Linked DNA regions of Drosophila melanogaster. The protein of the gene in region 3 interacts with the protein of the main gene of each other region in a pairwise test. Each region holds a gene or a part of one and is shown on either strand. Other genes may lie near its edges.

Region 1 (10,137 bases), on a different chromosome or scaffold from region 3:
TTACTCCACCAGTTATTCCGTAAGGCTAAGTAATCAAGCTAATAATATTCCTTTCGAAACCACAATTCTCTCTTTAAAGCCGAAAGAAAGCTTACCACTTACAGGAATAGAGGTGTTCCACAAATGGCTAACTTGCTGAAACTCAAAAGTTTATTGGATAACCAATAAGTACATATAATGCCATACAGAATAGAATTGATATTTGAGAATCCCTGTAAATGTATCGTAAACTGCATGAAATAACGGATGAATCTTTTTGAACTGCAAATACTTGATTTGTAAACCCAGCTAAGTTCTAGAAGTTTGGAAAATATTGAGCTAATGAAAAATATTCTCCGTGCATTTCTGCTACACGTTTTCGCATTTATTTAGTTTTTCTCGCTGGCTTGCCTAATTTTCGAAATGCGTGTATTTACACAGGCGGCGCTTGTTTGTTTGTTTCTCGTTTTAATCATTTATTCGATTTCGCCATGTCCTTGCGAACCACCCAACCACCCAACCACCCACCTTTGGCCCAGTTTCTTGGCGAGCTTCGAGCTGCTCGCTTCCGGTGTCCCGATTCAATCGCAGCACATATTTAATTTCATTTCTGACGCCCGGCCAATTTCCCATTAACTTGAGCTAATTAATTTTGGCCAGCTGCCGTTGGTAATAATGGTTACGTCAGGCGAGGCTCGTCTATTTTTGGTCCTTAATCCTTTGCTGCTTCGCAGCGCCAGAGAACGATAAAGAGAGGAAGAGCAAGAGAGAGAGTGAGAAAGGGGGAGAGAGTGTCCTTGCCACCCCCCCAGGCTATCATTCATATCCTGCCCCCGCCCCCTACTCCCCTTGTCTGCCCAAGAACTCAAGGACTTGTTTATTTATAACTCCGGCTCATCCAGTTCGGGATGCCAGGCGAACCGCATTCACTATTCAGCCGGATCGCATAGTTTCCGCCTTAATTCGCTGCGCCCCATCGTTCGTCTTTTGTTTATTGATTTATTCACACGCCTTCTGTTTGGTTTTCATTTCTATTTTTACCTTTATTTATTTTTTTTTTAGCGCTTTATCGTTGTTGTGCATTAACCAAAACGAAACACTCGACCACCAACTATGGCCAGGTAAGGGCTGCCATCCCATTCCATTCTCCACTCCTCCATTTAAGAGGCGAAACCACTGCGGTTCTGGGCTGGAACGATGCCACATAAGCAAACATTGTCCTGGGAAATATTTAATTTCAATGATAACTCGAAAAACCCTAATACTGATTACTACCTATACGTTAATAACTCAATGAGTGGATTTTAACTATCAATTTAATATTAATTAATTCATTTAATTGATAACGAAAAGCTATATGTTGCAAATACTCTCCATCACATGTTATTATGTGGCATTTCGCACATCCCAAGTATAGTGCGCAGTGGTTTTGCTTGAACTCCGCTCGATCCTAATGGCCTCCATTCCTTGCAACTCCTTGCAGATCAACACAACGATTAGCTCCAAGCAGGCGGATGCGAGGGAGCCGCAGGAGCAGCAGGTTGCCATCCACTACTTGGCTAGCTTCCATGAACTGTGCGTGGTGACCGCCCTGCTGCCGCTGGTGACGCTCTTCACGTGCTTCGTGACCGCCTACGTCTTCCAGTACGACGATGTCCACGAGACACATTGCCGCGTGAGTAAATGGGCACCGGGCGATCCAAGGGTATTCAGTGGCCAGGATGATGCTGATGAATGATGAATGTTTTGGGCAGGGCTCCGGCGCGTCGCCCGTGGCCAATAAATCACTGTCATCCCTGCGGGAATCCCGCCGAGATTGGAGACACGCAAATCCGCTTTTCCAAACGATTCGCTCACAATTGCTCCACGCATGGCGGTTTTTATTTTCACCAGCGGTCATTTATTTAATTTTAATTACAATAAATTTCACCAGTGAAATATATTCCTATTTGGGTATATATATAACTCAAATAGATTTATACATATCTGATTTTTTTATGTTATTAATATATATTTTGATTATTAGTGGCCATAATTCATTTTCCTTGCAAGTATAGAGAGCATTCACTTCAAGGGTAACCCGTCCGTCCATATTCAAGAGCATCTCCCACCATATCTTCAGTCTCCAGATTAATGTTATTAATTATGTATGGCATTCGTTACCAGGTCTACAACATTATACCCTCGATAAGTGCAATTACCGGCGTCAGTCCGCAGCGCTACTTCTGGCGCTTCAGCATCGCGCTCCACATCGGACCGCGAATCCCCATCGCCTTTGTCTACAAGAACTACTACCGCTCGCAGCTGCGTCGGATCAGTCCCGCCCAGGTGCCTCAGACGAGCCTGCTCATCACGCTGATCCTGGTGCTCAATTGCATCGAGATCGCGTCCCTGGGCGGCGTCACCTATATATCGAATCGCGAGAACTACCGTAGGTCCTGCCCAGCCCCCCAATCGTACATCTGATCCCTCTGATCCGTCTGCTCTCTCTCTTCCAGCCGTTCACGAGCGCATATTCATCACGTTCATGGTCTGCTCGCTGTGTTACATGCTGGCCACCATCAAGCTGAACGGCATCCTCAATGCCGGACAGGCACTGAGCGAAAAGCAGCTCCTCTCCATCAAGTGGAAGAAGATCCTGTTCGCCGTCTCCATCCTGAGCACCGTCGGCCTGCTGGTGTTCTTTGCCAAACATCGCTTCTACTGTCACGACTTGGGTGCGTTTCAAATCTCTTAGTTTCACATTTTCCACCCCGAAACAGATAATGAATCTCCCACATCTCTATTCCCACATCTCTTGACAGCATTCAGTTGGTTCGCGTTCTTCGAGTACTTGATCGCCATTGCCAACATGCTTTTCCACTTCACCATCATCTGGGACTTCCCATCGCAGTTCATGATGATCGTGCAGGGACCCCGCGAGAATCTTGCCCAGTATTTGAGCAACCGGCCGAAACTGGACTAGATTCGACCAGGACTAGATGCCCCCAGCACGCCACTCCTCCAGTGAACCGTGTGCGTGTAATTCCCGTGCGAAACGTACAATTAACGAACTTCTTCAACTTTAAAACTAAGCGCTTCCATACCGATCAACCATAGCAAATTTAGCCTTCTTCTAATTCTTCGATTCTCTTTACACTTACACTTATGTATCAATCTAAACCGAAAGCGAAACCAAACCAAAATCCAGAGATAAATGTTCCATAGTTCCATGATTAATATAGCTATTGAATTTAACAACAAGTATGTAAAGAATTTTGCCAGATTAGAGGGCATACCGTTCTATGTACACATTCTAAATACGTGAAATAAGTTACCTAGGGATTAAGTGCACCCAAAACCAAAACCAAACCAAATGGATCGCAGCTCGCCAGATCTCATGTCAATTTCGAATGGAATGCAAGGAGCCAAGCCAGGTGCGAGCAGTTTCATTTGTTAGGCAGTAAAGTAAAGTAAAATAAATAGAAGTCGCATTACTTACCACTTAGTACATATCGTTTATACAAGATGATAACGAGCAGCGGGAAATAGCCTCCTTGGGACAGGCCCTATTGGCCCCCAACCACAAAAGAAAAACAAACAAACATAAAAGGAACAAGGACACGATTCTAATAGACGGTAATCAGACAATAGACATTAAGTGTGCGACTTTGCTGCGGGCAACGAACCAGGACCTCCACAGATTCCATCCGAGCAGTGATGGCAAATGATATTTCCCGGATAGTTGATAGCTAGCTAACTCATGCCCATAGTTTCAGAATCCCTCACTGATCGTGGATCGGATTGAATAATCCGAATGGACGTGGAGGTGCGGCTTCTGGTGCTCACGGGGTCAGAAGGTCAGTGGTATAAGCAAATGTAGCCAAGTAAACAATTGTTCTTAGCCAACTTTAATAGTGAAATAAAAATCGAAAGACGGAGCAATCCGGTGAAAACTAGAGGCCCATCATAGGTAACCGAATTGCAAACCAGATTAGGATCAATATATTTTGCAGCAAAGGAGTTGCGTAGGTGTTTTTTTTTTGTTTTTTTTTCTTCTACACAAGAGTACTTAGTGTAAATCGAGAAGAGTTCAAATTGATATCGCTACTTGGCCAACTTTGTGCCATATGTACACAGCAGGTTCAGGCGGAAGGTTTTATTCGATAAGTAGTACGTGCTATTGCTAACCTTAATTATGATTGCGATTGTGCATTATATTTGCAGGAGATCGACGTCTTAGGTAATAACCCCGTATGTTCCCGAAAACGAGCAACGTATTTATGTAGCTAAGCCAATGAAACAATTGTTAATTCTCACACAAAAAACCAAATACAAACGGACACTCTATAAAAAAAAAATGTTATACAGATTAACAAATGCAAGCAAGCTCACGCCCACTCATGCGATATGTTATGCAATAGTTAAGTTGCCAGTTGCACCTCGCGATCGATCAGATATATATTGTATTTGAATTATTGTTAATGCTTACACGGCCTGCGTTTAGCCCACTTTAACTATATCTATACTAATGTATAACTCTGTCCCGCTCCATTTCGATTCCCCATTTCCGATTATGTGCCTCACTCTCTCTTTCCCACACCCCCAAGAATATGTACTTCCAGTCGCATCCGATCCGGTTGCAGACTATATTCATATATTCATATATATATATATATATGCGCTTTATATATACCGCTCACCGGCTAATCTTCAATTATTTTGTCCGGCAAATGGATGGTCACTTTTTAAAATGCAACTTTTTACCTTTGCATAACTTTTTAGGCGACACAACGTAAGAGAATTAATTAAAAATGAAATGCAAAACTTAACTATGAAATACATATGTAAACTTTGTAGCTTCCTAATTGAATAAAGATAAATACAACTCACACGAATTTCGAACCATTTCATCATCGTCTTTTCATTTTGATGGAAGCACTTAAGTATATTTCTCGTTTTCACGTACTCTGTTAATTATTTACACTTTATAGTAGGTCATTACACATAAGTGGGCTTCTCAAGGTGTGAGAGATGTTTTACATATAATACTAGCACACGAGTCAAAATTCCGAATGCGGCGCTGTTCAATTTGTGGTCAAGTTGGAGTCCGATTCGGGTCTGGACAAAAGCGTGTGGTGGTCAGGTCCTGTATGCATGTATGTGCTATATGTGCTATCATATGCAGGCGGATGCGTGGAAGGGAGCATGGTGGGTGCGATGTGCTTGGTTGGTTGGTTGGTTGGTTGGACATGGTTCGTGGGCGGTGTTAGCGTTTGTCTTACAATTAAAATTCAGTACAAGTCTAAAAGCTACGACGGAGACGTGAGTGTGTAAGTGGGTATGGGTATGCTTAACAATGCCTAACATAAACACCTGAACAAAGGTGTGCGGCGTCTCCTTGTGCGCGTGCAAAGAGGCTGTCCTTAAGTCTACGCGGTTCTTGCGATTTATTGTAAATGTTGCTGTTTTACTGTTGCTCCTGTACTGCTCCTGTGCTGTACTGGCCGTCTATATCTAGTCCGGCAGATCGATGCTGACGAACGGAACCACCGGCTTGAGAATGTCATTCTTGGCCCCCTTCTTGCTCTTCTTGTCGTGCTTGTGGAACTCGTGCAGCTGCTCGCTGGCCGCCATGCTCGTCGAGGAGGACGCTGCGTCCAGCGGCATGGACTGTGCAGCATTGCTGTGGGTTTCCGGGTGATAGCTGATGTTGCCGTACTCCTGCAGGAACGGCATCGCGGACAACAGGAACTGGCTGAAAGACTTGCGGATGCCGAACCACCACATGTTGCCGCCCTTTGCCGAGGAGCTAAGAACTATTAGCGCCAGAATAGAGACGAGCAGCGGTGAGAAGACCACGATGTACGGGAACTTAAGCTCGCCGTCCAGCTTGTCGCAGATGACCACCTGGCGGAATAGATGGGTTAGCGATGCACAATCTTTTGGAGGGACTAGATGAGGTCTCACCTGAAAGCAGAGCAGTGGGAGCACCGTGCAGATGTTGCCCACCGCTGCGTTTAATGCCGCCTTCTTCTGCTGCAGCGAGACCTCCGGCGTACGCATCATGATGCCACAGAAGATGATGTTATACAATACGCTGACCAGGCTCAGGCATATGACGATCCACATGGGCACAAACACTACGTCCCAGTTCCAGTAGACAAAGCGATCCAGCTTTAGCGGCAGTGAAACAAACTGAAGCGCGTTGACCGCCAGGAAGAGCTCCAGCTCGAAGGAGCGATCGTGCTTGACGGCCCAGACACAGGCGCCCACACTAACCACCGAGCCGAAGATCAGCGGAATGAAGACCAGCACCCACAAGTGACGGTCCGAGGTCAGCTTATCGCAGGCCAGCAGCTCAAACATCAGCAGGATCAGGTGCAGGGCCAGTGAGATGAGCATCGCTTTGAACTGCGTGTAGGCATCGCCCTCGAGACGATAATGCGGATACCGACACCACACAATGGCTCCTACGATTGCGCCCAGGATGGCGGTGCATTTCCATATCCATAGCGGTGTGAAAATCGCCCAGTAGGGCCAATCTGGGATAAGGCATTCGATTAGACTAGGCTACTAGGCCAATTATAAGGTTAATGCCCTACAATAAATCTTGTTCAGTAATTAAAAATCTAAATATTTAGCTTAGATAAGTTATTTAAAATAGCGAGAGAACTAATATCCTCGTTAAGTGACCAAATTTGGATGATCCTCTATGGTCAGACGATTTCTTCGATATTGCTATATCCAATCTCATGATCTGCTTGCTAACCCTTGTATACAATAAATCTGGACTATTCTCTAGAAGAAGCGATGGTGCACCGTACACATATTTGTGTATGGGTCGTATATGCTTGTATTGTTATATGATTGTATTTTCTTGCATCCCCGTGCTATTTTAATTCTGGGTGACGTTGTGTATTCCAGAACTGCCACAGAAAAGTACCCACCAATGTAGTTGTCGAGGCGCAAGGCGAAGAGCGTGACAAAGATGAACAGGCTGCAGTGGACGATGAACTTGCTGAAAGGGAACATGGTCGATTATGTTTTAGATTGGGAACCCATGTGATCCGGTCGTCCGCAGTCGGAGGCTTCTCACCAGGGATTGAAGTCGCGGAACAGAGATTCCAGATTCATGTTGCTGAGGACACCATAGAGCTATGTCACTGGACACTTGGTACCTGGACACTAGTTGCTCGTGGGCACCCGCCGCACCGCGTCCGCTCCACGAAGCGATCTTCGCCCGAACAAGGCTGTGTGTTATGATGGAGTGGGGGGGCGGGGGCAGTTAGTACTCTACGCCTGGCGCCGATCTTTCACCCCTTTCCCTGTAGATATTCTGTTCTTTGTTTTATTTACACACTTTTTTGACTGGCATTTCTGTCCCGAGATTCGATATCGATAACTCTTGCCTGCTCTGGCGATTGGCTTGACTAAGGACTAGCCAGATGTCTGGCTACAATTCGCCAGATTTCCGGCTACGCTAGCCTGCTATCGATAGCCTCGATAGGCACAGGAAAATGTTATCTTATTTGGAAGATTTGAAGGAAAACGAGGACCAGCTGCGGGATTCAGACTGCTGCGGCAATGGCTGCACCAACTGCATCCTCGACAACAAGCCACGGCCAAGCAAACGCGTCCTGCTGGCTGGCAAACGCAACGTGATCCTGAGCTACACGAAGTTCCGCCTGTTGCGGCGGGAAGCGCTGGGACCCAATGGACAGTTGCTGCTCCTGCACTTTGCTCATGCAGCAGAGGAGGGGGACGGCGATGGAGCGGTGGACACGGTGCTTGACATCCCGCCCGGCCACCATGTGATGCTGCGCGTCGGCTCCCTGCTGCGTCCGTATTCGCCCTATTGGAGCGACTTTGTGGCCAAAGAGTTCCGTATCCTGGTGAAGCTGCAGCCGGAGGGGCCAATGTCTCGGCACCTGCAAGCCGTACAGCCCGACGATCTGCTGGAATTCCGTGGTCCCATCGGGCAATACGTACACGAACCGCAGCCGGCCAAGTGCATCTATATTATCGCCCAGGGAGTTGCTATTGCACCCACTCTGCCGCTGGTTCGGCAGGTGCTGGACAACGAGGAGGATATGAGTCGCCTGTGGCATTTGGTGTGCGCTCACGACCTGCTGCATGTCTACTTCCGCGAGGAGATGCTCGAGTTCGCCCAGTTCTGGAACTACAGGAGCTGCCTCTACCTGCCGCATCAGCAGTGTGACTCCTCCGCTTGCCAGGAGGCGGGCCACTGTGCCCAGCAGTGCCCTCAGCTCCGGGACAATCTACGCTACAAGGAGACGGCAAAGGTGTCCCGATTAGATGCCACCGAACTGGCCACCCACCTCAATCCCGCGATTCCCGGACAGCGTGTCCTCATCGTGGCTGGAGATTCAAGTTTTCAAAAGAACATCGCCCAAATAGCAACACAATCATTGGACGTAGATCCGGCAAACATTTATATGTTGTAAATGCCGGGAAAAACTGTAGTTGCTTATAAATATTTGAATATTGTTAATGAATTTGTGATCGTACTGGTTATACCGAGGGTTTTATATTTTTTATACCCTAGATTCGTTGAAAAGTATGTAACAGACAGAAGATATACATATATTCTAGATCTGGATCAATAGCCGAGTTGTTCTGGCCATGTCCGTCTGTCCGTATGAACGTCGAGATCTTAGGTACTATAAATGCTAGAAGGCTATCACGCCCACTCTAACGCCCACAAACCGCACAAAACTGCCACGACCACACTTTTAATAAATGTGTTGATATTTTTTCACATTTTGATTAGTCTTCATTAATTTCTATCGACTTGCAAACAACGTTTTGCTACGTCCACTCGAACGCCCAAAACTGCCACGCCCACATTTTTGAAATATTTTTAAATTATTTTATAAGTCGTGTAAGTTTCTATCGATTTAAAAAAAACTTTGGCACGCCCACTCTAACGCCCTAAAACCGCCCAAACCTGCCGCGCCCACATTTTTGAAATTTTTTTTGGATATTTTTTAATAATTTTATTAGTCGTGTAAATTTCTATCGATTTACAATTTTTTTTTTGCCACACCCAGTCTAACGCCCTAAAGCGGCCATAACTGCCACGCCCACACTTTTGAACAATTTTTATTCCCCAATATCTATCGATATACCAGAAAAATTCAGAAATTTCGCGTTCGCATTCACACTAGCTGAGTAAAGGGTATCTGATAGTCGGGGAACTTGACTATAGCATTCTCTCTAGTTGGCATTTGAAACTTTTACATGTTTTCTATACTTCCAATTAAGCATTTGAGTGTACCGAAAATGGAATGTGTACTTCCATAAAGGAGGAGGAGTTCACTTCTTCATCATCAGTAATACAGGTAACTCCAACTACTTCTACTGTTTTGCCCACACTTGCTACTTTTAATTGGTTATAGGGCATCTATACTTATCGCTGCTAAATGAACATATGGTTTTGGCCATCCAGGTGGCTCTTCAATCCATTTCGCTGTCGGCAAATCATTTACTTTGTTAAAATCTGAGCATTGCAGTTGCAATTCTCATACCAAATGTATCGATCGGGATTTAATTGTCTTTAAAAAAGCCGACTGGTTTTCGCTGTAATTAATACAATTGAGCGTCTGGTTATTCACTGGATGAATCGAAAGGAAACATTATGAATCCAATTGCCATTAAACATTCTCTATGGTCATCTTTTTATTTGACCTCCTGTGTCCACAACATGGTTATGATTCCATTTGACTATTAGTGATCCAATCTAATTCAAGTCATACCAAGTGGATGATATTTTAGGAATCAACCCAATTGGTGTTCAGATTGGAATAATCTGAACACCAATTTGAACATACCCTGTACCTTGATTTTGAGAAACAAATGTGTTTGTGCCTTAACAATTCGTTATTTCGAAACATTCTTTACAAAATAATTTGAATTACTTACAAACAATAAAAAGGATAATTTTATTTTGAAGCAAACTTATTGTTACAAGACAAAAACGAAAAAAAAAATAAAGTAATTTAACTTAAATACTGTGAGTTGATTCAAGATCTTTTAACATTTTCTTCATGGATGGATAATGATAATGGATAAAGTCAATTTGGAGATCTGCTCCAGTTATATTATAAATCCTCGGGCTTCGGAGGTTTTTTCAGTCCTGTAGCTTCAGGCTCTTAA
Region 2 (10,137 bases), on a different chromosome or scaffold from region 3:
ATCTGCCACATACCCTACAACCTAAGCTCGGTTCCGTTTAATGTGAAGATGAAGAAGTGCGCGGTGTGCCGCAAGGGAAGAGTTCCGGATGTACTGCTGGCTACACTTGAAGTGCCTGAATTTATGCAGGTTACCGGAAGAGGTTGCTTCATGCAGGCCCAAGTGGTGCGCGCCAAAAGAGATCTGCGTGCGGAGCTGAACGCCAAAGAGATATCGGATGGTCTGCCCTTCCTGGAGTACGAACTTCATCGAGTGCTGATCAACAAGCTGAAGGCCAAGGGCATGAATGCCATTTTTGGGCTACGCACGCAAGTTGCCATCGGCGAGCGTATGATAGCGCTGATAGCCACGGGAACGGCTCTATTTCTCACAGCTTTACCGGTGCCGCAGGTACCAAAGATCGTGGCAGGCAACTCGTGGACCGACAAGCAAAAGCTAAATGAGTTGCAGAAGAAATTACAAGAAACGTTTGAACGGAACCAGGAGATCTATCAGCTGAAAAGCTTGGACCCGGATTTGGCAGCCAATGTCGGAGGAGTACCTTCCACAGGAGCCTCTGGCGATAAACAATCAGATACAGACGACTCTGATGAAGAGGAGATGAACGAGATCGATCTGAACTGTGGCAACAAGGAGTTGTGTGTCCTGGAAGTGGACGATATCGAAGACTTGGAAATCATATCGCTGTTAATGGAGCCATATCCGCCGGAGGGCTTCCATGTGGTAAATACGCAGCAGGTGCCGGGCATGCTGGAAATGGATACGGTTAAGAATCTGCAGATGTTCACACAAGTGTGGCGCGCCCGACTCGAGGTGGGCCAAAGTGTAAACGGCTTCCCTAAACACTTTCAGAGGTAGGTCTAAACTTCATACTGGGATCAGCACATAAAAACATTTGCCTTCCCAGACTGTTGCAGACCATATACTTCAAGCTACGCACTATGATACCCTGTGCTATCTGCGATCTTCGCTTCCGACTAGATCTGCCAGAGACGGTAAGGAAAATGCTAGGACTTTGATCAAGAATGATTAAATTACTTCGTTCTCTGCAGGATCAAATTCAATTGCTAGTCACTGGCATGGCCATGGGCCTAAGCGATGCCAACAGAATGAAGTACCGCGGACGTGGACGCCCGGCTCAGCAGCAGCAGGCACCTCAACAGCAGAACGGATATCATGATGGCACGGTGCACGCCACTCAATCTCAGCCAGAGTTAAACGGAAAACGAATGCTGCAAGAGGAGGATTACATATTTCCGCTGGACGAGGATCAGATGGTGGACACACCCACGCCAACCAGCACCGCTATTCCGCCATTCGGAATGAGCTCATTCAAAATGCGAAAAACTTCACCATCACGTCTTAACAATCTCGTTTCGGGATTGCCTTCAACCGGAGTTAAGCCATTGAACGTTGGATCTGTTCAACGTAGCCGTTATGTAAGAACATTAAATATTAATGATGTCTTTATATTAATATTATATTTCCTTGACAGTTTCCGCTGCGAGATCGTTATGGAGTGGATGTGACGCCACTAAGTTTCATACCTGGTGGTCGTATAGATAAATATTTGGGCAACCTAAACTTTTTCTTTATTCGGGAGAGCACGTCGATCCGGGAAAATGGTGGCATCAGCGGATTTGTCCATGGCTTCATTACCGAACTGTTGGCTGTGGTGAGAGCACACATCGCTTCGCTGGGCGGAAATGCCATGGTCTCTTTTTACATCACCGAACTTATGTTGTTCGATAATCAGCACAAGAATCAGGTAAGGCAAACACAATGATCTACTTACCTTAAAGTTTTTATACTGAAATCTTGTATTCTTAGGGCCAGTGCCTGATTAGCATCGGAGGCGATGCTGTCTATGTGAGCTACCATGCCGATGACTGATATAAAAACTTGCGGGGCATATAGCGCATGTTTTACGCGAATCGTCCCAAAAGCGTATACTCTCTATTTTCTTCCGCTTAGCTAGAACTATCAGCTCTGCCCAGCAACTGGAGTTAAACTGAAGTTAAACTAATTCACGTTTACTTAACAATTTTACAGCATCTGTAGATGGATTCTTTATGCAATATTTGAACTGTGAGGAATCGTTCTAATCCTAACTTAGTAGTGCTAATTTTTTCGGTCTTGTTACTTGTTTGCTGGATGTTTTTAGCGTTAAATCAATTGCAATTTCTGTACATAGTTGATGTTTATTGAATATTGAATTTAGAACGAGTGCGAGACACAAGTATAATATCGATATATACAATTGTTGCAACCACAAACATGACACATATACTCGTACCACTAGATATCCAATTTTGGCGCGTAAAATACAATACATACAATATTATGGAAATACAACAATTGCTCAACTAAATGTATTTGATTCGATTAGTTTGGTGTAGTGGAGAGCAGCACAAACATGACCCACAGATGTAGTAGGGCCACGTAGACGATCACAGAGACCCGCATCATGGGATAGCGACGCAGAAACGTTCCCACCCGAATACCCATGGAGTCCGCCTGGCGAAGGGCTCGCTTGAAGCGTCGTGCCACACGATTATCGAATGGACTTGGATGCATGAGAAGCGGGAATTGTGCTTTGACTAGGTAGAACTCATATTTATGTAATTTCTGGTACTCGCAGAATGTTAGACTTACCATCATCTGTGCTGTTGAGCATAGTATGGCGGGAGCTGCCCCTTTGGCTCTCCATTTCCACCAAGTGCATGTTTTGCTGTAGCTGCGTCTGTGCCTTTTCGTGCTGTAGTCGCAGGGCATTTCTCTCACTCGTAACTCTTTCCAGAAGACTTTGACGTTCGACCAGTGATTGGGTTAAAGCCTTTAGCCGAGTCTCGTAATCGCTCTTGGCTCCCGTGTTGGCTTCCTCGCTCAATCGCTGACGCATCTGCTGAAGCTGCTGCTCCCGCTCCTGGAGTCGAGTGGCGGCAGCAGCCATTTGGTTACTAAGTTGCTGCCGCAGTGAGGCCAGTTCCTGCGTGAGCACTCGCTGATCGGATTCGGAGGTCACACTGTGTTCCCTTGCCTGTCGCAACTCCTTTGCTAGTGTTTCCTCGCGTTGGCGGGCAGAGCTTAGTTCCACCTGTCGTTGTCTTTCCTGGGAAACGTAATCGTCCAGCTGCAAGCGCGCCTTTTGCAGTTCCTCGTTGGCATGCTCTAGTTCTTGCTTAAGTGACTCGTGTTCAATTTGCAGAAAACGCGTTTCACTGTCCTTGGACACCAGGTTTGGATCTGCGCCCTCCTCCGTGGGCTTCGCCTTCAACTCTGCGATGAGGGAATCCTTTGCTTGCAGAGCTCGCTGAGCCTTGATACGGTATTCCTGAAGCTCCTGGCGCTGCTGCTCCGTTTCCTTTGTTTGCATTTGCAATTTGTGAGCGGCGCTTATGTATTCCTGCTGCAACTTGGCCAGATTGGTTTCCAGTTCGGAGATGGAGTGCACATACGCCATGTTAGCTGCCTGGGCCTCATTGTAGTCATGAACCGCCTTGTCCCGCTCTTCGGACAGACTTTTAACCAGAGCTTCCAGCACCTGGGTGTGTTGATGCAGATCAAACTTTTCGGTTTCGTTATTAAGATCTTCCAAGCGCAGACGCAGTTCATCTCTTTCGGCCGTGATTTCATTCAGGGCGATCTTGAAGGCAGCCAATTCATTTGTGTCCATTGAGTTGGCGGATATGTCGGGACTGTTGGAGAAACTGGCCGACGTGGTCATCTTTTGGCGCATGTCCTTAGTGACCACGGAGACCCCGCCATCGCTTTTTACACTTGATGAGCTATTGGCCCCCGAGCGCCGCACTGGCGACAGAGTGGACTTCAGGGATGTGGACAGTGATTGGGTGCTGCTCGTCATGCTCCTACGCATGGGATCCGCTGAACCTGTGGCGTTCTCTGTCTGCAGGGCCGTTGCCGCATTTTGGTCCAGCTTGTTCAAAATGTTTTCGGCCTTGTCCGCCAGTCCTGTGATCCAGGATGACATATTTTTCTAAGAAAAACAAATCTCTTCGAGTAAAACACGTAAACAATATCACACTGTGTGCCCATATCGCTATCGACTGCGGAATGGTCAACTCCAAAGTTAAGGTCACTCTAAAAGTAACGTAATTTTGAAAAACCTTTTTTCTGATCAAAAAAATATTTATATGAAAATGTAAGGATTGGTTTTAGAAATAAATGTAATTCCAATCTTTCTTATCCGTGCAGAAATGTTAATTTATTATGCTTATCAAAACTCTAGGGTACAAATGAATATTTTATTCAATACTCAACATGGGCAGTGTAATCTTCGCAACTCACAACTATAAACTATCTCTTCACTTTCCAATGCAAAAGTCCTTGAAGACCACGTCGAGTATATCTTCGCAGCTGATGTGTCCGGTGATGCGTTCGATGCAGCGCACGGAGTTGCGCAGCTTGGAGGCGGCTATGGCCATGTCCGGGTAAACGTCGGGTCTGTAATCTCGTAGAAAAATATCAATGTTCTCAATGCAGCGCTCCAGTTGCTGACGGTAGCGTGTGTTTGTGATGCGTGGATTCTCCGCCCGCGGTTCTCCGCACAGTTCTTGCAGCTGCTTCTCCAGTGATCCCAGAAACACGGGCATCTTATCGGGCTTATGGCATGATATGGCTAACACGTTGGACAGCTTGTCCAGCTGCTGATGCTCCTCATCCGTCAAAGTGTCGGTTTTATTGGCCACCAATTGCAGACGTTTCCCTGAGCACATGTCCAGAGGTATATCCAACTCGCCCAGATAGCTATCTACAAACGGAGCAACTGCGTCGTCGTGCGTCAGCTGTGCAATGTTCTTGGCTTCTGCTAGGAGCAATATCAAATCAGATTGGACTAGACAATTCTTGGCTCTCTGCATTCCCTCCTGCTCTATACTATCCGTAGTATATCGGCGTAATCCGGCTGTGTCGGAAAATACCACCGGGTATCCTCCGAAATTGTGCATTGTTTCTATAATATCCCTTGTGGTGCCCGCCTGATCCGTCACTATGGACACGGATCGCTGGCAGAGGAGATTGAGCAGACTACTCTTGCCAACATTGGGTGCTCCAATGATCACAGTGCGGACTCCGTCGCGGAGGAGCTCTCCCTGCCGCTGGTCACTCAAATGCTCGCGAATCTCACGCTTTACCGCCTTTAGTTCTTTGCCGAGTTGCAGGATGATGCCGCCTTCGATTTGCTCCTCTTCGGCGAAGTCTATGTAGGCCTCCAAATGGGCAGCACAGCGAATAAGTCGACGGCGCCAGTTGTCGTAGAGTCGAGCCAGTGCTCCAGTGCTTTGTAGCAGTGCCTGGAGAAAGAAGAGACTTGAAACAAAATTTATGAGACCCTAAGTCCACTGTCTACCTGCTTTCTTTGCGCCTCCGTTTCAGCATGGATAAGATCGGCCAATCCCTCCACCTCTGTCAAATCCAGTTTGCCACCAAAGAACGCTCTCTTTGTGAACTCTCCCGGCTCCGCCGGCCGCAATCCATCCACTTTTCCCAGAGCATCCAACATGGCCGCAATGACTGCCAGGGACCCGTGTACCTGAAACTCGCAGGAATCCTCGCCAGTGAAAGAAGCCGGTCCCGGAAACCAAAGTAAGAGCCCACGGTCAATCATCTCTTTGCTGGCGGGATGGTAGAAGGATTTCAGATACGCCTGACGAGCCTATATGGAAAAGTATTTATAAAGGGAACTATAAGTTTCACTATCATAGAGGTCTCTCGTCTTAAAACCTGGCAGCTTGCCAATTATAACAAATTAAGCAGTTCACGAAATTATTCAATTTATTTAGTCAATTATATGTAAGTTAGGAGAAATTTGTTTATTTTTATACAGGATACATCTCCCAAAATGTATATAAATAAGCAACAGGTCTTTTCATTTGCATACATATATTTTGGATACTAGAAAACAAAACTATACACTGCACAGGTCACGACCCCTCATATATGGAATAATAAACGTTTATATCGATTGACTTGCCTTTGGCTCGTATTCTTTGTTTGCAACAATTGCTCGGAGGGCCTTCTTTGTTTGCGGCCCGGAGACACGGATCACGGACACACCGCACTTGACATGACCGGAACTGAGGCTGTAGATGGTGCATCCGCTGCTGGCAAAGCGCCGGAAACTGCCCAAGAAGCTCTGGGACGCGTTTCTGAGAAGCGCCATCGCCGAAAAACAATTAAATCCCAACCGCCGAATAATAAACAATTGAACGTGATATTAAGTGTGACCGCGGAATGGCCGTTACAAAAATATATCATTCCACTCGGAGATATATACTAAAGAATTGTGCGTAAACAATTATGGAGCGGTGGTAAGCTTGGGTAAATCTCCAGTCCCGACACAAACCATTTTGACCGAAATATGGGATTTGAAACATGGGAACGTTTTTTATTTATTTCTTTGTTATTTGGATAGAAAGAATTCACTTTTATTCAATTAGACAGAAGTAGTTTTTGTAATTTTTTGTCAAATAATTATCAGATTTTTTGTCAAAAGCGTTGGAAAATATCGAATGACATATCTCGATGAACTTGTAATTAAGCCCTTAATTGGTTGGAGTTCAAATTTGGTAATTTTATTTTTTTGACGTTTTTTGAAAAAAATAGACGTTGTTACCCCTTATAAAAAATGTGAAAATAGAAAAAAAAAAATTTTTTTTTTTATTTCACCAAAAGTTGATAAAAATAATAAGCATTGGTAAAAAGCTGTAAGAAATAGTTCTTATTAAGTCTCTGAGACCAATTTTAGCCAAGCTGTGATGAACTTCTCAAATTCCCTCTCCGCTTTTGACGAAGACAAATACACTTAAATATTTTATTAGTAACAAATATCACATCTAGTGCAGATGTGTTACATTTTTACAGTTACATTTTCGGATTTGGACGCTTTAAAATCTGATGCCTTCGACACTATCAATTTGATCAGGCTACAAGAATGAGCGATTGCTAGAATTTCTGATGCGAATACAACTGTCAAATATAAACGGTTTAGAATAAGAACTGACGTTTTCGGGTGCTGTAGGCGTTTGACAACCGGAGAGATACAATGGGTGGTGGACAGCTATCGGTGGCACGAGCAAATTTGTTGCGTTGGATCATCGCCGCATTGGTGTCCCATTGGTTGATAAAGGCACGGGCCTCGTCGTCACATGGCTTTGCCGTACTCGGTCTTTCTTCCTGCAAAAAAGATTATTTCAAATTGATTTTTGTTTGAAATATTCCAAAAAATAGGCACCTGGGCTCGGCGGCGTCGAGGAGCCTCAGTTTCCATCGACTCCAGAAAGTCCCGTCTACGATTTCGTTTGGTCGCCACACTGTCCGGGAAATTAACCCAGGTGCACTCGTACTTGCGCTTCTCCAGTTCGCGCGGATGGTACTGCTCGTTATCGAAGCGTTCCTGATCGTCCCCGACCGAGATGCGTCCGTGGCCCTCGTCCTGCTCCCACATGGAGCGTCGCTTGTTCTTCTTGTACACATCCGCTTTCTCCCGCTCCCTGAGTATCTGATCGTCTGGCAGGTATTGGCTGCCCACTCTGGGCCGCTGGGAACGCCTGGCAATGTGACGCGTTGAGGCGCATTCGATCCGCGCACGGAGGAGCTCGATGCAACGGTTCACCATCATCCGAGTGCCACCGTGGATGTTAACCATTCTCGGAAGATATTTTTTTTTTTTTTACAGTTTTAGAAATTTTATTAAAAGAATTAGGGAATTGTGTAAGTTTTAGTATTGGAATGCCAAAATGTAGCCTGCTTCCAAAGAGGCGGCGTGTAACGAACTGAATCCGCTCCCAACAAATCGAGGTGACATGTAAGGTGCGTACGAATCAAGGCACACCTGATGCTGTAAGTCGGCTCACCTTTCTTAATTAGCACTGTTCACCTGGCGTTAATTTTCCACGACTAGTATCTGTCACACAGATCAGTTGAGTTCTCAGAGTGGCGGCATGAGGTCTACGATTTTGGTACTTCTGTTGATCGGAGCCATTAGGGCGGCTATTGGGAATCAAACCCATCTGGTGGGCTCCTCTTTGGAGAATCGCATTCTATCGCGACGGGTGCGTGCTTTGGTTTTTCCCGACAAGGCATCCCTTCTCCTGACCGCCGCCCTAACCAAACTAATTTTGGGCGGACGACCAAGTGGCCTTCAGTACAGCTTGGAGTTTGATATGTACGTTCCGGTTCCCGACACCATTGAGGGTTGGCAGCCCAAGATCCTAAAGAAGATGAAGCCAAAGCCAATGTCAACGCCAAAACGCCGGTATGATTGGTCATATAGCAAAAGACCTGAAAGCTATTATCCATACTATGCGGATCCATATAGAAATGCTCATTACGAAAGGTAAAGTATATATATTTAACCGTTAAAGAAATAAATTCGAAATTTTAAGTTTTAGTCCTGCTAACAATCATAGAGTTCCATTCTACCAAGCAACATCGAGGTAAATTATTATGAATTACTTTCAAGAGGTAATAATTACAAGTTCAATGTCCTACTAGGGATTCATTTCCCCAAGCTTCATGGCATTCATCCTCGCCCACTAATCGCAGGAAAGAGTTTTATACATCGAGGTAATATAAGATTAATCATTTTGAAATACCCTAAAGTGGCTTTAAAATATTTCAGACCCTCATTGAATAGGGCCTCATTCTATCATAGCCCATGGAGCTTGTCTGCAAATCAGAGAAACTCATATCCACCGGAGGAAGAAGTTTATGAATCCTGGGATCAAGTGCCTAGTTGGAAGTTACATCGTGGATACAGAGAACGCAGAGAGATTTTCGATCAACTCGAGGCCATGGGAAAAGTGTAAGTCTTAAGTGATCCACAGAATAATTTAAAAGAACCTATTAATAGTTTTCAGTTGGACCTAAGGTCTTGTATCAAGAGAGCCATGTGTGAACTAAGGGCCAAGTTAAATGCAGGTCAAGATCAGGGATTCCTCATGGAGGATCTAATGCGAATTGTGCTGACGTAAGTAAAATAATTCATTGTCATATATAATGCCATTAAAACCATAATAAACTATACTTCAGAGTTCCCGAAGAGGTGGCCGATGATAAGTACAGGCATCGCATGGATAACCAGGACTGTGCCCGATTCTACGCCCCAAGTTGTCCCTACAATGTTCTAGACTTCCTTACCCAAAGTGGTGCAAAATTGTAAACATAGTGAGCCGAGAATCGAACTTCCGCCCCAAGTCGTTGTACTGTGATTTCGGATAACCCAGAGTCATCAGTTCTCATTCCGTTCTCGAGCTGGATAGGTCTCTAGCCTCCCAGTTTCGTGTTCGCAAAATTCCATCTAAATTTCCGGCCCAAACCTTTTGGAAAATATATTTCGGTTAAAAATTCAAAATTCCAGAGCTCAAAAATGGCACTGAGTGTTAATCCCTCCCGAGTACTGTTCCGTCCAATTTTTGGTGCGGTTAACAGCTGTGTGCGATTTGCATCCGGTTGTGAAAAGAAGGGGCCGAGCCGGTGCCCGAAGGTGTTGACCAAGTTCCCCTGCGGCAAACCCAATCTGCAGGCTCCGCCCAAGAAGAAGAGGAAGATGGTCAAGGCACAGTCCATGTGGCTGAACCCATTCTGTGATCCCGACGACACCGCCTGTCCGTTCAATCCGCGCTTCGACGATATCTACTACGTCGAGTCGGACAAGGCCAAGCGGAAGTACTGGCAGACATGGGTGGCCTGCCCTCCCATCCAGATTAAGCCCAAGAAGATTTGCTGTTTCGCCAAGGCTAAGCCGGCTCCTATCAAGCGGCGAAAGCCATCGGCGAAGCCATCGACCGCCTGCCCGCAGCCTTGTCCGGATCCGTCGGAGGATCTGTGTCCCCGTCTGGCCCGTCGCTGCCATCGCGATGGTCGCCGACCACCCTCATGCAGAAGGGAACGAGGACCCCTGCCGTGTGTGAAGCCCCGGACGCCATATCCATCTTTCTCCGAGTGCCGACGTCTCAAGCCCGATGCCCCGCCACTGAAGGAGTGCAATTGTCTGGCGAAACCGCTGCTCTGTGAGATTTGGGCCGAGTTCCGACGACGAGCCATTGCCAAGAAGTAGAGCCGTGGCCCTGATTATATAAAGCGCTTTTACGATTCTACAGCATATACATTTTTTAT
Region 3 (10,137 bases):
GAGGAAGCCATGCCCGGTTTGCGTTCGCTGCGCTTCTTGGAACTTTTCTGCTTAGCCGCCGATTCCAGCTTTCGCCGCTGGCGTATACCTCCATCCCGACAAGCCTCCACAAAGATGCGGATGCAGCGAACGCAGGCTTCAAAATTGTAAGGCGTGATGTGTGCCACACTGCGCACGATAAACGCCAGCGAATCCCAGCACTTGAAAAGAGCAAACGGAGCGTGGTCTAGTAGCTGGCAATTGTACACAAGCGTATTTACTGGAGGAGCACTCAGGCTAGGCGGAGATTGTGGTCTGCAAAAGCAACTTTGTTGTATTAGATATGAAAGGTTAATGAGTGAAGAATCTCACCTAGAGGCCGTAGTCAATTCACTGTCCTTGTTATTGACCAGAATCCAGTTCTCAGCACTTGGACTGGAGACTGCAGGTGCTGCAGATGCTTTCGTGATCTCCGAATCCGAAGTGTAACCACGCTCTGGCACGGCAGTTGCGTCCTCTTCGCCACTTATAGCGCCATCAGACTTTGCACTTCCGTTGGGCGGCAATGGCAGCTGGGCATCATCATAATTGGGCGGCACAGCACCGGCTCCCACGCATTCAAGTAGATTGAAAATAATCTGCCAGTCCTGCTCGGAATGAATATTTTGGGCCGACGTCTTGAGCAGCTCATAGATACCAATGGAAATCTGTTTAGAAATGCGCAGCAACAAGGCTGGCTTAAGCATTAAAAGCATCTTGAGCGATTGCAATACGATCGGACACAGTTCTTCGTTTCGCATCAGATAGATAGCTAGTTTTAGGACCGCTACAATGCATCGGTTGAGTAGGTAGTCGTATCCACAGGAGGCACTGCCCATAAGCAGTAGGTACATTTGGTCTCGAACTGCTGGCCACAGCGGTATCATGCGATCCCGGTTATGAACAACTATCTTGACCAAAAATTCCATCCAGAAAACAGTTTGATCTTCGGCGTACGGCAGGCCAATGGATTTGTGCCCCTGAGGAGCCTTCAGTAGCGCTAGAACGCATTTAAGCAACTCCTGCAGCGACTCTAGTTGCACAAACTTTGATTCCTGCAGCATTTGATCCAGCTGGCACTCCTTAATGCACTTCCGTCCCAGTTTGATGAAGTCCTGCTCCTCGTACGTTGGTTCTCGCTGACCCTCCGAGCTGATAAATGAGTACAGGCTGGAAAATAGTCCCGATTCCTGCTTCTCGCGGGGCTTTTCCAGGATTAACATGGCCTTTCCGTTCGCCTCACAAAAGTCTTCCACTTCGATCAATGATTTTGGCAGCAACTTTAGACGGAAAAGCTGCAGATATAGGTCCAAAATGTGTTTCCAGCTCTCTCTTAAGCAATCGCCGTAGTCGTGAACCAATAGAAACACCGTTCGCATGGCAGCCTGAGCCTTTCCGTTCAATCCAAAGTTCACAGCTTGCTGGGTTTCATTGTTCGCCGGAGCGGGCTCATGCTGTTCTACGCTGCTCAGCAGCGTTGTGAATTTGCAGAGAGTTAAAACGAGGGCATCGAAGTCCGAATGCAGATTATAGTGCGCCGATATGGCAGCGGATTTGCTGAAACCTGAAATGTAATCGTAATGTGAGATGTGAATGGTAATTATTAGATGTTTATGTACGTACCTGCTAGAGTTCTTTGGTAGCCCGTTTCAGTGCTTTTATCAAACATAAAGCTTAGGGCGCTCAGAGAAGCACCCCACACAATATTGAAGATCTCCACGTCGTATGATGCGTCATGCACATAGTGAAAATGTCCATCGTGCGTGTCTCCTCGTCGAAGCAGTACTTTCCATTGATAATTTTCACGCACCAGACCCGTTTGCTCTGCTGGCATAACGATCTCTTCGTTCCTTAAATAATTAATAATCGGAAATATAAGCAAATGAGAGTGACGCTATATGTACTAAAGCTTACTTGATTGCATTAAAGACTTGAGCCAGCATTTCTTGATCGAAATCTTCGCCACCGTTTAGACCACGCAAATTCTTAGTGAAGTCCTCGAGCGTCATTGGAACATTTAAACGCTTCGCGTTCGAGTTGTGCTGATCCATGTTCAGCATGATGATGGCATAGGCCAAGCGAAAAGCAGCGTCTACGTTGGCAAACGGATCTTGGTTTTGTTTCTATATTGGTGGGATACATACATGATTAATATCAGAGACTGCAAGTATTTTAGTAGATGTGTATACTCACATGCCAATGATCAGAAAAGTGTTCCAGCACCAAAAAGATCAATGGAGCCTCTCCGGGCAATCTGAAGGTCTCCAGATAAAGACGCAATGCTTGATCCACTCGAAGACCAGTGAAATCAAACGAGTCCACAAAATTAATTAGAATCTTAGAGTCGACGTTTTTCTTTTTCGAGATATATTCGCCAATCATTTTTTTATCGAGCCCGGGATTTTCTCGAAGGAACAGGGCCACCTGCATGGGATCAAGCTCGGCATTTAGGATGCCGTGTTCTTGCAGATACTGGATTCCTTTCTCTGGACGCTGATTAAATCGCTCTGTGCCTTGGGATAGCAGACGCTTCTTCTGTTTGACCTTGGCCAGCTGTTCACTGGTTATTCCCACTCCCTCTCCGCCAGATTGTAGTCGTAGTCGATGTGAGCTCGCATTTATAAAGCTTGCGATGTTCTCCACTTTCTCTTCTGCAGCTACACTATTGCCAGAATCAATTACGATTCCCTCCAATCCGCTGTTGTGGCGAGAATGGCGGCTGCCACCTGTTGCTGGGGCAGCTTCTGGCAAGGACTCTCTGTTGTTGCTGCTATTCTTGCTCGCGGCACAATTTCGCTCGATACTGTCTATCACACTTAACAGGGTGTCCATTGAGATAATGTGGGTGCTATAAACTGCATTCGTTGCTGACAGCGTATACTTGCTCAGTAGGTTTGTCAAACTTTCAAACATATCCGTGCAGTACAAGTCACAATCGTAGTTGATATACAATTCCGTGACGAAGCCGGGAATGCGCCACAACTGCAGTAGATTGTCCAGAGCGAGTTCTCGCATTTCGTAGGGCGTCTTGGGATTATCGCTAGCAATAATCTCGCTCAATTTTCTAAGGTAGGCTTCCAGCTGAAACTTGAGATGTCCGCGGAGAGACTCGAAAAGCAAAAAACAGAGCTGCAAATCGGCGGCAAAGATGCTAAGCCGCTCTGAGCTGAGAAGCTGTAGGGAAAGGAAAGAGTTAGGTCAGAAATAACTAACGAAGCAATTAAGAGTCCCTTACCGATATTAAGTTTCTGCATAAGTCGTCCTTAACCAGCTCCAGCAAGCCCTCATACTTTCCAATATTATCGGCTGCGACTTCAAAAGCTACAGTAAGTAGACTAAGACCCGTGTGCATCATGCTATCCGAGTTCTGCTTATCCAGAGGATTGCAGAGGATTATGAGGAATCGGAACAACTCCTGGATGAAGGGCAGGCCATAAGGGGATAGTGATGTTACATCGTGATCGGTGGACTGCTGTGTAAAACGGACGCCCACCGAGTTGATGTACTCGCTACTATTTGCCTCGGCCAGGGTGCTGGTTGCTTCACCCGTTTCGCCGTCCAGCAAGGGCTCCGATTCAGTCGACTCCACTTGAATAACAGGAGTCTCCGGGACAGTGGTTTCATCTTCCCCCGTGCTCGCCGTTGTTGTTGGTGTCTGCGTAATCTTGCCCTGCATGTCCAATATGTTTCCCGCTGGACTGGCGGGTGTGGTGGCCAATATGGGTGCCTTCAAGTGCCCTGGCACCGTCAGGTTGGCAGACTGCGGTGTTTGAGGCGGTTCCTCCACTGCTGACGATTTCCTGGGTGCTGTCTGGGCTTGGGCAACCGTCTTACGCTTTAGTTTTTCTTGGGTAGCTCCGCTGGCAGCATCGCCGATAGTAAATCGCTTCTGGAGCATGGTGTCACTTCGCTCTTCGGCGAACTGGGGAAGGCGCATGAAGAAGAGCAGCACCATGTCCTTGAGCGATTTTTCCGCCGAGCGACGAAGCAGTTCACTCAGCCTCGGCTCGAAGGAGATCTTGAAGCAGCTGAGCATCACCTCGCACATGGACACATTGCTGACGGCGGCTCCTTCGGGACTGCGGATAAGCGTGTGCAGCACCTCAATCACTCGCATAAAGGTGACACCATCCGAGGACTGATCGGTGCCCATAAAGCGGGCATGTGTCACAGCATCGGCAATGCGCTCCACAATGTCAGCCAGATTTGGAGACGTGGGATCTGTGGATAGGTACAGAATGAGCAAATGCAGAGGGTAAGCACTAAATCATAATACCTATTAGCCCGTAAGACAATAATTTGTTAACCGAGGCCAAGGCTAGACTAGTCAACGGACCCGTGGCGTCCGCCGTGCGAATCACCTCAAGAAACGGAGCCAGGAAGACCTGAGGCTCGATCTGACGCAGGTCCTCGATCCGATTTAGCTCATGCTTGAGGTCAATGAACAGCTTCAGCAGCGAGTCATTCTCGTCGTCCTGTGGATGTGCAAAAGGGCCATATACTTTCTATTCGCAGTGAGCATTAGGGGCACTATTTACCACGTAGGCGGTGGCATTCCAACGCGTTCCACGTCGCATCGCCGTCATCAGGGTGGCCATTTCGCCCCGCACCACGTAGATGCCGTTGCCTGGAAGCGCCATGGTGTCCGCGTGTCCTCCGTTGCGGTGTCTCTACGACTGCAGCTAGTTGGCTTCCAGTTCCAGGGCTAGCGCTGAAAATTGCAGTTTTCGTGGGGCAGGGCAGCTCCTCCTCCCTTCCCGACGACCTTCGCATATGTTTTGGCACTCGCCACTTGCCCACTCGCACACTCACGCTGCCTGGACGAATCTGGGCGTGCTGCCTAGTTGGGCATCTCTCACTAATCCTAACTAATCGAACTGGTAAGCTGCTAATTTTTGGTGACGTTTACGTGTCGTTTATGTTCTTGTGTGCAGTCCGAATATTTTGCACAAGCGTCTTCCAACACCGGCGCGGCAGTTCGTCGCTTCGCAGCACTGGCACAGCTGTAGATGCCAACTCGATGCGGAAATTTCAATAGATTAAATTGAAATACAGCTGCAAGCGTATATAAAAAAAATATAACCTTGTTTTTAAAATAAAATATGTTGCCAAGCTGTCGATCAAATTGATTTAATCAAATTGATATTTGAATATGAGGGCCAAAACAGGTGAGCATAATCAGTCACGCACGCATCTTCAGTCGTGAGCGTTACACCCACCACTAAGTTACACTGGCATTTGGTGCGTAGGCGAATTTCTAATTGGAATCGTTCGATTTTTGAAAAAGAATCGCATTAAATGCAAAGCATTCCTGTTCCAGACTACTGCGCACACTTGCACTGAGGCGATCGAGCACGGGGCAGGTGGATTTACAGGACTCAGCGATACCAAAGCAGCCCACAGGCCGAACAATATGGGAAACACGGACTCCAAGTTGAACTTTCGCAAGGCGATTGTGCAGCTGACGCAGAAGAACCAGAAGATCGACCCCAGCGACGAGCAGTTCTGGGAGCAGTTCTGGCAGGGCCACCAGACGACGCTGGAGGATGTGTTCGCGCTGGTCACCTCGAGCGAGATTCGCCAGATACGGAACGAGAATCCAGCCAACCTGGCCACCTTATGCTACAAGGCGGTGGAAAAGCTTGCCCAGGCGGTAGACAGCAGTTGTCGCACGCAGGCGGAGCAGCAGTGCGTTTTGAACTGCGTGCGGCTGCTCGTCCGGTGTCTGCCGTACATTTTCGAGGACGAAAAGTGGCGCGACTTCTTCTGGAGCAGCCTGCCATCGCAGGACAAGACCATGCCGTTGGCTCAGTCACTGCTCAATGCCACCTGCGACCTTCTTTTCTGTCCCGACTTCACGGTTACGGCCACGCGGCGTGCGGGCCCCGAGAAGGCCGAGGAGTTGGCGAACATCGATAGCTGCGAGTACATTTGGGAAGCGGGCGTGGGTTTCGCCCAGTCACCGCCCCACAACGCCCACATGGAGCGCAGGCGCACGGAGTTGCTGAAGCTATTACTCACCTGCTTCTCGGAGCCCATGTACCGATCGCCGCAGCAGTCCGAGGAGCCCAACAAGTGGATAGCATATTTCACCTCGGCCGACAATCGCCATGCCCTGCCGCTGTTCACCTCGTTTCTGAACACCGTGTGCTCCTACGATCCGGTGGGCTTCGGCGTGCCCTACAATCACCTGCTGTTTGCAGACACCACAGAGCCCCTGGTGGAAGCGTGCCTTCAACTGCTCATTGTCACCTTGGATCACGATATGGTGGTGCAGCAGCAACTCACACAACCCGGACAGGCGTCCTACGACGAGGGCAATTGCGGCGACAACTTGTTCATTAACTATCTTTCGAGGGTTCACCGCGACGAGGACTTTCACTTTGTGCTCAAGGGCATAACCAGGCTGCTGAACAACCCACTGGTCCAGAACTATTTGCCCAATTCCACAAAGCGACTTCATTGCCACCAGGAGCTGCTTATTTTGTTTTGGAAAATATGCGACTACAACAAAAAGTTTCTGTATTTTGTGCTAAAGAGCTCCGATGTTCTGGACATCCTGATTCCCATTCTGTATCACCTAAACTACTCCCGAGCGGATCAATCTCGAGTGGGCTTGATGCATATTGGAGTATTCATACTGTTGCTCCTATCGGGTGAGTCATATGTCATATGTTTTGTTCGTGGAATCAGTGCACTTACACTTAAATAAATGTTTATTGATAGGTGAGCGAAACTTTGGGGTTCGGCTTAACAAAGCATACTCCGCCACGGTGCCCATGGATATACCTGTGTTTACTGGAACCCATGCGGACTTACTCATCACTGTGTTCCACAAAATAATAGCCACTGGCCACCAGAGGCTGCAGCCGCTTTTCGATTGTCTGCTGACCATTCTGGTAAATGTCTCACCATATCTGAAAACCCTCTCGATGGTGGCTAGTGTAAAGATGTTGCATCTCCTGGAGGCTTTTAGCACACCCTGGTTTCTGCTATCGGCACCCAGCAATCATCATTTGGTGTTTTTCCTGCTGGAGATCTTCAATAACATTATACAGTATCAGTTCGATGGCAACTCGAATCTAGTCTACACCATAATTCGAAAGCGTCATGTGTTCCATGCCATGGCAAATCTCCCGACCGATATGGCTGGCATAGCCAAGTGCCTGAGTGGCCGTAAAACAGGTGGAAAGTTTAACTTGCCGCGGGTACCACAGCGAAGAACGCCAGCTGTGTCCCAGGAACTGCCCTCGGCCCACGTGCCAGAAGAGTACAACGAAGAAGACGAGGATGAGGACGAGGAGGAGATAATTAATGAAGAGCCCAAGGCGGAAGAGGATCTCGAATCGGAGACAGAGTCTCATGAGCGATCTCAGGCGGGGGAGCTGCAGTCGGACGTTCTCACGGCGCAGCCAGCCGAGCCAGGAACACTGAAAACGTCCTTGTTGGACACCCCGGGCATTACTCAGATGACGGAGCGGGAGCAGGCGCATCCAAATGACAAGCCTCAGGTGGAGGATTCTACAGACATTGTGCCCTACGACAGATCAGCCGCTTCGACGCCAACTGACGAACGCAAGTCCACCTCACCCACGGAATTGTCCCGCTTGTCGGTGGCCCACAGGGCCAGCATTCGCATGGTGCCTGGCGAGAGCGATCGTTGGACGCCCACGCCCGAGTGGATCGTCTCCTGGCGCTCCAAGCTGCCGCTGCAGACCATCATGCGACTGCTTCAGGTCCTAGTGCCCCAGGTGGAGAAGATCTGCATTGACAAAGGACTGACCGACGAGTCGGAGATCCTCAAGTTTCTGCAACACGGAACGTTAGTGGGACTGCTCCCAGTGCCGCATCCCATTCTCATCCGAAAGTACCAGGCCAATGCGGGCACAACGGCATGGTTCCGCACCTACATCTGGGGTGTCATCTACCTGCGCAACGTGGAGCCTGCCATCTGGTACGATACGGAGGTCAAGCTCTTCGAGATTCAGCGCGTCTAGGTCAGTAAGTGGACTCCCAGCTACACCAGCAGCGCAATCGTAGCTTACACGCTTTGGCATTTACTGTAGTTAATTTATTTAGTACATATTTCATTCCAAATGTTTTTGTGAAGAATCAGTGTGTAATGAACTACCTTTCCCACAATTTTGCTTATTGGCAACAAAAAAAATGAGGCTTATCAGTTACGATGTGGCATTGAGATCCATTCAACAGATTTGTTATCGGCTTTTAGCATTGATATTTAATTGCTTTCCTAATTTGTTTTGAAGAGTGTTCTAAAAAACAGTATAAGCACAAAGTGTTTTTATTTTAGTTAATGACTAAATTATTAAACAACTCATGTTTTTGTAATCTGTGACAGAAAATGTTCCTTGTGCCGTATATTTTATTGCATGGTTTTATTTATTTTATATTTTAATAATTTAAAAATTTCCTGTTTTTACTTATGTATGTATTTAAGGTGCAAATACCAAGAATAAATTACTTTCACTCAGCCACTCTACAAACGATTCGCTTTATCCAAACAAATTTGTAACTGCACCTATTGACACCATAAAAAGCTTTACGTTCTCTTGTAATGATTAGGAAACTTTAGTTGAGTCCAATGAACTGCTTTGTAAACTTAATTAAATATAGACATTAATGATAGAATTGAGAAAGTGTATTAATTTACTGTCTACGTGTGCTTATAAACTATATACACAAACTAAACTTATGACACCTATACAAGTCAGTTTATATAAATCATTTACGAAATATAGAGCAGAACCCAAGATAAGTAATAAATAATAAATAAATTTCATAAAACGAATTGAATCTTGTATTTTAATTTATAAGAATGGCCAAATATAGAGCCAAATGACAGTTACTAAAAAGCAGTTTCATATCAATCGATTTTACATTCTTGTAGGTTGCGTTCACGGTGGAGAGAAAGGACTTCATCCTTTCTTTTACGCTTCTTCAGTCGTTCTGCTTGCTCTCGATCCTCCAATAGTTTGACCAAATGCTGATGCCAGTAGAAGTATTTGAAGAAAAACAATAGAAGCAGCACCGAAGTGGTGACAATGGATGCGGTTGTGATCTCTACGGGCTTTTCGCCTTCCTCTTCCACCCGCTCCGAGAAATGGCGGGTGGATATTCTAAGGCCGAAGTTTTGTTTGCTTGCCGCAACATTGGGCCGATCCATGAGCACCGAAGGCAGCAGCGGTAGTTGTCACGACTGGATTGTATTGGAAGTGGCAGTGGATGCGGGCACTGGTGGCGGAGCTACTGGAATAATCGAGAATTTGATAAACGCGCTCTTGCTGCGCCTTTGCACTATTCTGCCAATTAGTTGTGGTTCCTTAATGGTCTGTTCGATGGCCTTTACTATGCGCTCGGCGCTGCTCTCGTCCGATCCACTGGCATTGCCCTGGATAAGGATGCGAACCTCGTGTCGCTTGCCCAGCCACTTCACAATGTTCTTGAGTCTGGAGGAGAGATCGTGCTCTGTGATGCGCGCACCAATGGTAAGGGATTTCTCCGTTTTCTTATCCTTAACTTTTTCGCTCGCTGATCTCGACTGCTCCGCATCATCCGACAGCATTTCAGCAGCTGTGACTAGTCTGCAAAGTATAGCAACTTCATAACAATGACCAGGCCCCGATGATAACCATATATACCCACTTGAACATGGCTCTTCCTGTTTTAGCATCTGTTTGCTCCAATCGCAACAGGTGCAGATCCCGTCGCTTGGCCAGCTTTTGGGCCTCCTCCAAAGTGGTTATGCTAATTGACTGGTTCTGTTGGATCAGGGTGATCTTCTGGACACTTGCCTTTAGACTCCGTGTATCCCTCGTTCTACTGTCTCCTGGGCTTCCACCCACCGGCTTTTGGTGCTGCGCCAAACTCCAGTAAACGGTCAAGGGACGCAGGTGTTGCTGCTGAATCGCTGCTGCGGCAGCATGATTAAACATTAATCTTATGCGTTGCATGCTTCTCTTTCAAATATATTTTTGTATATCTCTTGGTTATTTTCGATTTTCTTTTGCTTGTGCAATTTTTTTGTCTCAGAGTTGTCAGGTTATGTGAAGCAGTCTGTTTTAACAGCTGTTCCGGCAGGTAAGTACCAGCTGACGGCTG

What was found.
Region 1: the proteins of garz (region 3) and CG14194 interact in a two-hybrid assay, tested with the Drosophila melanogaster proteins (one large-scale study listed by BioGRID).
Region 2: the proteins of garz (region 3) and Golgin84 interact in a two-hybrid assay, tested with the Drosophila melanogaster proteins (one large-scale study listed by BioGRID).

The regions. Positions count from the first base shown.
Region 1 is NC_004354.4:19,190,790-19,200,926, reverse strand, and holds CG14194 (uncharacterized protein), read right to left. Parts: upstream 7,373-10,137; 5' UTR 7,096-7,372; coding exon 7,058-7,095; intron 6,980-7,057; coding exon 6,909-6,979; intron 6,504-6,908; coding exon 5,929-6,503; intron 5,869-5,928; coding exon 5,476-5,868; 3' UTR 4,890-5,475; downstream 1-4,889. Other genes in the region: CG7990 (uncharacterized protein), read left to right, coding at 1,463-1,654, 2,146-2,410, 2,478-2,696, 2,784-2,944; CG7914 (uncharacterized protein), read left to right, coding at 7,479-8,426; HP1D3csd (heterochromatin protein 1D3 chromoshadow domain), read right to left, coding at 10,112-10,137.
Region 2 is NT_033777.3:24,353,886-24,364,022, forward strand, and holds Golgin84 (Golgin-84), read right to left. Parts: upstream 4,054-10,137; 5' UTR 3,992-4,053; coding exon 2,656-3,991; intron 2,601-2,655; coding exon 2,386-2,600; 3' UTR 2,185-2,385; downstream 1-2,184. Other genes in the region: CG6454 (uncharacterized protein), read left to right, coding at 1-854, 908-995, 1,053-1,439, 1,496-1,768, 1,831-1,893; CG18528 (uncharacterized protein), read right to left, coding at 4,326-5,312, 5,369-5,674, 5,993-6,181; CG5762 (uncharacterized protein), read right to left, coding at 7,006-7,194, 7,253-7,666; CG33339 (uncharacterized protein), read left to right, coding at 7,962-8,356, 8,412-8,456, 8,515-8,586, 8,642-8,824, 8,873-8,989, 9,052-9,181; CG33340 (uncharacterized protein), read left to right, coding at 9,389-10,078. UniProt on the Drosophila melanogaster protein: May be involved in maintaining Golgi structure and in intra-Golgi transport.
Region 3 is NT_033778.4:12,321,195-12,331,331, reverse strand, and holds the start of garz (gartenzwerg), read right to left. Parts: upstream 4,973-10,137; 5' UTR 4,659-4,972; coding exon 4,557-4,658; intron 4,494-4,556; coding exon 4,295-4,493; intron 4,240-4,294; coding exon 3,254-4,239; intron 3,193-3,253; coding exon 2,212-3,192; intron 2,142-2,211; coding exon 1,933-2,141; intron 1,869-1,932; coding exon 1,642-1,868; intron 1,583-1,641; coding exon 352-1,582; intron 295-351; coding exon 1-294. Other genes in the region: CG8841 (uncharacterized protein), read left to right, coding at 5,432-6,674, 6,745-8,015; mIF3 (mitochondrial translation initiation factor 3), read right to left, coding at 9,230-9,620, 9,682-9,989.